2 linked regions of the Rattus norvegicus genome follow. The main gene of each other region encodes a partner of the protein of the gene in region 2 in a complex. Links are inferred from orthologs where the notes say so. Each region holds a gene or a part of one and is shown on either strand. Other genes may lie near its edges.

Region 1 (3,818 bases), on a different chromosome or scaffold from region 2:
AGACAGAGAAAGACAGAGAGAGAGACAGAGACAGACGGACAGACAAACCAACCAACCTGATCTACATTTCTCAAAGCTGTCGAGGCCGAGAGAGACTGAGAATTGTTTCCAAGACATGGAAGACTCAAGAAAACTACTCAGTGTGTAATCCCAGATTAAATCGTCTGACAGGAAAACAACACCATCACACAGGGAATCACTGGGACAGGGAAATATATGGAATACATTAAAACACAAACGTTGATGCTAAAATTCCTAGAATTTGTGAGTTAACTGTAACGTAAGGCAACTTTGTGAGGCACACATACTCGACACCAGCCATAATGGAGCTTTGCACATGCACAGCCATGAACAGTATGCTTGAGTGACAGACGTGTACGAGCGGGAACTCCCAAAATCTTACCTGGTGGTGTCACTATCTAGCTGGAATAACCATACTACTCTATGACATTCACAACAAAATTGCCTAATGGCACACTTCTCAGTGTTGTCCCAAGACTGACTTAAGGCTCTGTTGTAGCCCGAGGCTGTTAAGAAAATGGTGTGGGTGCAGAGGAAGAAGCAAAGACAAATGTGACAAAATGCCAGTGTGGTGAATCTTGGCTAGAGCATGCTGAAGTCCACTGCTCTATGCCAGCAGCTTTCCCAAAGGATAATACAGTTCAAAGTCATAAGACGATCACCAAAAACAATTATCCTAACAAAATCACACACATGCTTTTTACTATAGTGTTTAATATATCTTTCAGAAGTGAAATGGTCCTTATCAGGCAAGTTCTTAGTGTCTCAGTCTCTCTCTCTCTCTCTCTCTCTCTCTCTCTCTCTCTCTCTCTCTCTCCAGTCCCCTACCTCTCCCTTCCCCCTCTCATGAAAGCGTGAAGTTGCAAACCACTTTATATAAAAAACTGAATAAAATAAAAATTTAATGATCTTCCAAGTTGGAAAGTTCTTTTTTAAATAAGTTTTCGTAGAAAGTCAGGTCTTTCAGAGTTAAGGACGGCTTCACAGTCTTGAGTGCTTCTGTGAAGTGCTCCTGTTCCACTGTGGTCGCTTCCAGTCCATTTTCTTGCAGAGCAAACAGAGCAGCCTGAAGGACACAAGCAGTGGGCAACAGTCAATCTGCTTCACATTAACAGTGAACAGTAACTGTCAGCACTGCAATCCAGTGTCACATCAAAGGAGTTCAAAGCCACCCAAAAACACTAAAGGTTAAGCTGACTACAAATCCACCATAGACCACAGCTTCCTGTACACTAAAAATCCAGCCTTAAAAAGGCAGACTGTAGAATAACATACACGCCCTGAATGCACACACAGTCTAAGATGAGAGGAGCCCTGCAGCACTGCTCATAAAAGAAAAGAGGGCACATTTATGACTTGGCAATTCTTCCAGCCATGTATGTGTATGGAAGATCCACTCCACACTCCCAGCACAGACAAACTGTTTATGGCAGAATGTAGAAACTCAGAGCTCAAAGGCCGCAAAGCTCGTCTCCAGTGTAGGAGTGAGCAAGTGGCCACCTTTGGTGGGCAGCAGGGGCAGTGGGTAGGAAGGGTCAGAGGAAGATTCTAGAATACCAACAATCCCTTCCTGACACATGTGCTGGCTATAAAAGTGTGGTCACTTGACAGTCATTCAGTACCATTTCCTTCAGCTCTGTGCATTCCTCTCGATTTTATATTTGGTAAAGCTTACGGAAAGGGAAACCATTCAAAGGCTCTGGCCTCGAATAAAACAGTACATACTCACTTCTTTGCAGAGGTTTCTCAGATCAGCTCCAGAGAAATAACAGGTTTCTGCTGCCAGGTTCTCTAGAGAAACATTGAGCCCTATTGGCATGTTGTTTGTACAGACTTTTAAAATAGAAAGCCTGCCCTGGAAGAAAATAAACAAACAAACAAATATTTACAATGTTATCACACTTATGTTCAGCACTGATACAGTAAGCATTTTAAGTTCAAATTTTCTATTACATTACAAAGAATGTATGTATATGTTTGTGTTGTGTGGGTATGTGGAGGGGTGCAGTATATGTGTGTATGGTGTGTGTGTGTGATGACTATGTGTGATGTATGTATGGTGTGTGCATTTGTGTGTGTGTGTGGTGTGGGGGGGTGTATATTTGTGTGTACAATGTGTGTGTGTGGTGTGTGTTCTATTCAAACAATTAAAATCAGTCTTGCTCCTGAAAGAGAGAGGAGTCATCAATGGTCTACACAGCAAAGGTAGAAACAGTATCATGGAAAACAAATATTGTTAATTAACTTCTGAACTTGCCAGTCATAAGCATTTCTCCTTATAGGACAAGATGACTCTCTTTTGGGAACCAGAGTGCTATCAGAATAGGTTTAGAGACAAACACACGATTTATGAGACACATTTAGAAGCATCAGACATTTACATAAAAAAGAGATCTCTTTAAAAGTTGATAAAAGCCCAAGGAAGGAAAAATTAATTCCCGGAGCCCTTCACCATCTGACAGTCATTCTGGGTGTTTAAGAGCAAAGCATTTCCTGACTGGACATGCTGCAGTCCCCACAGACCCAGTCCACTAATGCCCTTTCAGGGACTCAAATGCCTAAGGATTTTTCCATGCCAGATACAATGACACCCAGTGCCCTCAGTACTGCTGGGAGCACTAGAGTCACTTCCAGGCATGTTCCAGGCAGGGCCAGGGAACCAGAACGGACAAATACGTGACTTTATGAAGAGCCACCAAGCAAAGAACTGGATACCAGCACTGCACAGTGAGAGCAGGACACTCCGCCCACCACTACCCAGTCTGGAGCTTATCCGGACATGCTACTAGGCAGATGTGACGCACTGCTTACCTCTCGATCAGGAGGGGGGACATAGACCATCTTATCTAATCTGCCAGGTCGTAACAAGGCATCGTCTAACACATCAGGCCTGTTTGTCGCCACAACAATCATGACACTCCGACTAAGAATTTCTTGACACTCTGAGGGAAAGCATATAACACAGAGTAACATCGCAAACTGTGACTTAGTGAAATCCTAGATGATCCTAGTGAATAATCCCATGTGAGAAGGTAATGTTTGAAAGGGACGGCCTTCTTTTGGAACCAGGATGCTTCCCCAGTCCCAGCCACCTTCTTGGTATAAAGCCACCCCATGACAACTCACTAATCAAAGCTACCTTGTGTGTCTGAAGGAATGGCTAGTCCTGACAGGCGTTTCTCTGTGTGAGAACTGGGGAGAGGCCACAGGGAAGAACACCTGGCCAGCGCCCAGATCCACCCAAGCACTCAGTGAGCAGCAACTACAAAGAAGCTGCTCGAGGGCAGCGTGTGTGACCACGGGGGACAGGTACAGTTCTGGAAAGTCTAGCTTTCCCAAAGGTGGAAAGTCACTTTTTATTCTTCTTTCCAGAGGCAGAAATGATGACAATCAAACTGAACTGCAGTTATGCAAACCCTGGATGACAAGCAGCAAATTTGTTTCTATTTGAGGTAAGGTCTCATGTACCCCAGGCTGTCCCAAAACTCCTTACCCAACAAAACTGACCTTACGAGCTGTGTCTGCACTTCCCGAGTACTGGGTGTATCAGTGCACACTAGCACACCTCACTTTTTTTTTTTTAATTCTTTTTTTTTTTTTTAAGATTTATTTATTATAAGTACACTGCAGCTGTCTTCAGACACACCAGAAGAGGGCATCAGATCTCATTACAGTTGGTTGTGAGCCACCATGTGGTTGCTGGGATTTGAACTCAGGACCTCTGGAAGAGCAGTCAGTGCTCTTAACGCTGAGCCATCTCTCCAGCCCCTAGCACACCTCACTTACGTGGTTACCAG
Region 2 (3,818 bases):
GGGCCATGTGTGAAACAGAGGGGGCCGGCTGCTCTCTTCCCTGTAGTGGTAATTTTCTAGTTCACAAATTCCCTTGGTGGTTGAAGACAGCTTTTCCATTTTCATTTGTATTTTAGTCTGAAAAGATATTAATTTGGAATATGAGAATACTGCTTAGAATTTCTAATCTCAGACTTAGTAACTATAAAAGACTTGAAGGCTACGATGTATAGTCCTGGTGGGGCTGAAATTCCAGTCATTCACCCCATTAACTCCACAGAAGACAGCAGATTTCCAGAGGAATGGAGACAGGTGGGAGTTGTGGTTTTCACAGCCTTAGAGAAAGCAGAGCTTGCGGAGTCCCACCTCAGTAAGGTTTCTAAGCAGCAGTAGCAGTTTAGTTCCAAAGGTCTGGCGGAGTCCCCGTGGGCTGGTATCACAGAATGACACAGGCAGAAAGGCACCCAGCATGCACGTTTCTGCCTCTCTATGAAGCCTCTGTGAGCCTCTCTTTTCTTACTCATATGGCATCGAGAGTGAAAGGGAGCCTCATGCACACAGGAGAAGGCAGTAAGAACCTGAAACCTGGGTCTCTGAAGACCTCCCTTCCCCTGCTACTGTGTCCTCTGCCAGCTCCCAGCAGGAGACACCAGCACCTTCTCCACAGTGACCAAAGTATGACAGATGGAGGGGCAGTGACGTGGGTCATGAAACACCCGGCTACACAGTGATCATTAAATACAATAGACAGAGCTAACTAGGGTTTTAGATTTAAGTAGCAAAGGTTTATTAAAACTAAATCTCGGGGTTGGGGGTTTAGCTCAGTGGTAAAGTGCTTGCCTAGCAAGCGCAAGGCCCTGGGTTCGGTCCCCAGCTCCGGAAAAAAAACAAAAACAAAAACAAAAAACAAAACTAAATCTCCTAACTCCTCAGTGTAGTTAACTGTTATGTGTCTGAGGGATAAAAGAGACGGATAGCATCAGTCATAACTCCTGTACTGGATCCTCCCAACTGCCGTCCATCCCCTGGTTTTATCGAAAGTGACACACACTAAATTTAGCAAATGTTAATCTTTAAAAGCCTCTCCTTTCTCAAATCATCTTAGGTTCGATATTTCCCTTCGCTTAACCTCCAGACAGGCTCCATCATTTCCAGTCGCAGCTGGGAAGATGCTCAAGGTTGAGGTGAGGAGGCGGGCGGGGCCAGGGCTGGATCTGTGCTTTTTGAACCCAACTCTGTAAAGAAGTCTACACCCGGGGGCTGGGGATTTAGCTCAGTGGTAGAGCGCTTACCTAGGAAGCGCAAGGCCCTGGGTTCGGTCCCCAGCTCCGAAAAAAAAGAACCAAAAAAAAAAAAAAAAAAAAAAAAAGAAGTCTACACCCTAAAGCAGCTTCCGGACACCTCCTAATTCTAGAAAAGCTTGGAAGGATTCAGAGGGAAGGGAAATCTAGAGACTCTGACCCAGATCTGTAGCTCAGCCACCAACAGGGACAGAGTCCTATCTGTGTGTGCTTTGCTGAGCTAACAATGAAAGAGCAGCCTGGACCACAGAGCAGCTGTAGTGTCTCCCACAATAACACGTTCCACGAAAATGGGGTACATCTTAGGGGAAAGGGTATGACCAAGATACTTAACCCCAAACCACTTTAATGGATGGGGAGAGAAAAAAAACAAAACAAAAAAACAGGGTTCACAGCCTCCAACACCAACTTTTGGGTTTGAACACTGAGTTCAAACCAGTTTCAGACAGATTCAAGTTCATCAGAGCAGAGAGCTTCTAACATGATGGCTAGCATGTAGAGCTTGCTTCCTCTAAGATGTTTATTTTATCATTTATGTGTGGGTGGCTGTGGAGGCGGGACTGGCACTGGAGGCCCTGGAGCTGGAGTTAGAGAGAGTTGTGCTGGGAACCAAACTCCAGTCCTTTGAGAGAGAAGCAAGTGCTCCTAACACCGAGCCATCTCCCTAGCCCCACAGTAACCACTTCCTTAAAAGAAAAGATTTTATGTCTGTGAGTGCACTGTAGCTGTCCTCAGACACCAGAGAGGGCATCGGATCCCATTACAGATGGCTGTGAGCCACCATGTGGTTGCTGGGAATTGAACTCAGGACCTCGGAAAGAGCAGTCAGTGCTCTTAACCTCTGAGCCATCCCTCCAGCCCAGCTAACCACATTTTATCAGGCCTCTCCTAATCAAAGATCTAGGCCCCTTGGGGGAAAATGCTGATTCTTAGGCGGAGGCAGGAAATATGCAAAGTAAGCCTGGGACCTTTCAGTGCTAGTCAATAAGGAAATGTCAAAAACTTCCCCAAACGGAGCTTTACTAGAAAGACGGTATTTCAGACAAGAACTCCCAATGCCTAAGTGCAAACAATCTGAACAAGGAATGCAGTTGATTCGGACCACAGCCTGAAGTAGGAACTGCTAGGCCCACACTGACAACACCATGGCTGCTCTCGTGTTACACAGCAGCACCAAGAAGTCAGTGTGATAGAAATGGTCTGGCCCACAGAATCTGAATATTCACTCTGGACCCTTGAAGCAGTTGACACTGCTGGAGTATGTACCCGACGTGACTTGAGAGCATCAGGGTTTGTAAGTAGGTGGGAGGAGAGATCTCCGACTCTTCTGAATGCCCCCACAGTCAAGCAAACCCCAAACAGCTGCCCTGGGCTGAGAGACAGTGATGTTGATGGCCAGTAGCTTCAGGTCTTACCAAGCCGTCCAAGATGGCCTGTAGCTCCTCACACAATGCTTCAAGTCCTTTATCATAGTCCAGGTTTGTCTTCTCTTCCTCTTCGATGGAAGTTGGACTGCTGCTCTCTAATTCAACCTTCTCTTTACTCCTGGACAAAGCAGAAGGTAGTGGGTACAAATTACACTCTTCAGACTCATCTCATGCCAGGCGACTGCACATCTCTAACCCCAGTGCTTGAGGAGGAGGAGTTCACAACCTGGCTACACAGTAGCCTCATTTTGTTGTAATGGATCCTACAGAAGTCATCATTTATATAATCATGTTAGACATATTGCATGCATGTTAGATACATTGCATACATGTTAGACATATTGCAACATGTTGCAAACGTCACTGCAATAGATGCTCATTTATAACGTGGAGGCCAGAACTGGGCACTGGAGTCCCTGGAGTCCCTGGAGCTGGAGTTAGAGACAGTTAGGAGCTGCTGAGAACCAGATTCCAGTTCTTTGAAAGAATAGCAAGAGCTCCTAACACTTTGGCCATCTTTCTAGCCCTAGAGCTAACAGGTTTCCTAAGGACTCTCCTATACAAGGATTACATTTACACCGTGAGCACATCTAGTTACCCAAGTTTACTGTGCTTGGATGGAGCCAAGGGCCTCCTCTGTGTGCTGCAAATGCTCCACTGCTGAGCTATACATCGGGACTCATTTGTATTAGGGGCAGTGAAGTGTAGCCATGTGGAATCCTTGGTGTAGGGCTTAGTGCTGGTTCTATGAAACGCGTAAGACATGGGTCATTTCCCAAAGGAGTCAAGAGTAGTTTTAAAACTGGAGTCTATGGTGCTGTTAGAAGAAAGTGCAACTATTAAGGTGAGCCTAGTGGAAAGGCTTCTGTCCACGTAGGGAAAGGATTCCCTTCAAAGGACTTTGGGATCCCAGTATCTTCTTTCTGGTCTGGACCATGAGGCAAACAGAGTATGAGCATCCTCTATGATGTGTGCCACAAGTAAGTACAGAACCAGTAGTTAGCCTGTGGTGGCATTCCTCAGGAGCCGCCCTCCTTTTTGAAGACATGGTTTCTCATCAATGGGATGGATCTAGGGCTTACAGACTAGGCTGGGGCTCCGCCTCCTTTCT

Evidence for each region.
Region 1: Cinp (region 2) and Afg2b share a complex: the UniProt entries of both Homo sapiens proteins name them as parts of the 55LCC heterohexameric ATPase complex. The link is inferred for Rattus norvegicus from reciprocal best matches to the Homo sapiens genes CINP and AFG2B.

What each region holds. Positions count from the first base shown.
Region 1 is NC_086021.1:130,158,247-130,162,064, reverse strand, and holds the end of Afg2b (ATPase family gene 2 protein homolog B), read right to left. Parts: intron 2,964-3,818; coding exon 2,833-2,963; intron 1,877-2,832; coding exon 1,751-1,876; coding exon of another isoform or gene 1,747-1,750; intron 1,088-1,746; coding exon 923-1,087; 3' UTR 724-922; downstream 1-723. UniProt on the Homo sapiens protein: ATP-dependent chaperone part of the 55LCC heterohexameric ATPase complex which is chromatin-associated and promotes replisome proteostasis to maintain replication fork progression and genome stability.
Region 2 is NC_086024.1:135,710,506-135,714,323, forward strand, and holds part of Cinp (cyclin-dependent kinase 2-interacting protein), read right to left. Parts: intron 2,826-3,818; coding exon 2,696-2,825; intron 1,352-2,695; exon of another isoform or gene 118-1,351; coding exon 1-117. UniProt on the Homo sapiens protein: Component of the DNA replication complex, which interacts with two kinases, CDK2 and CDC7, thereby providing a functional and physical link between CDK2 and CDC7 during firing of the origins of replication.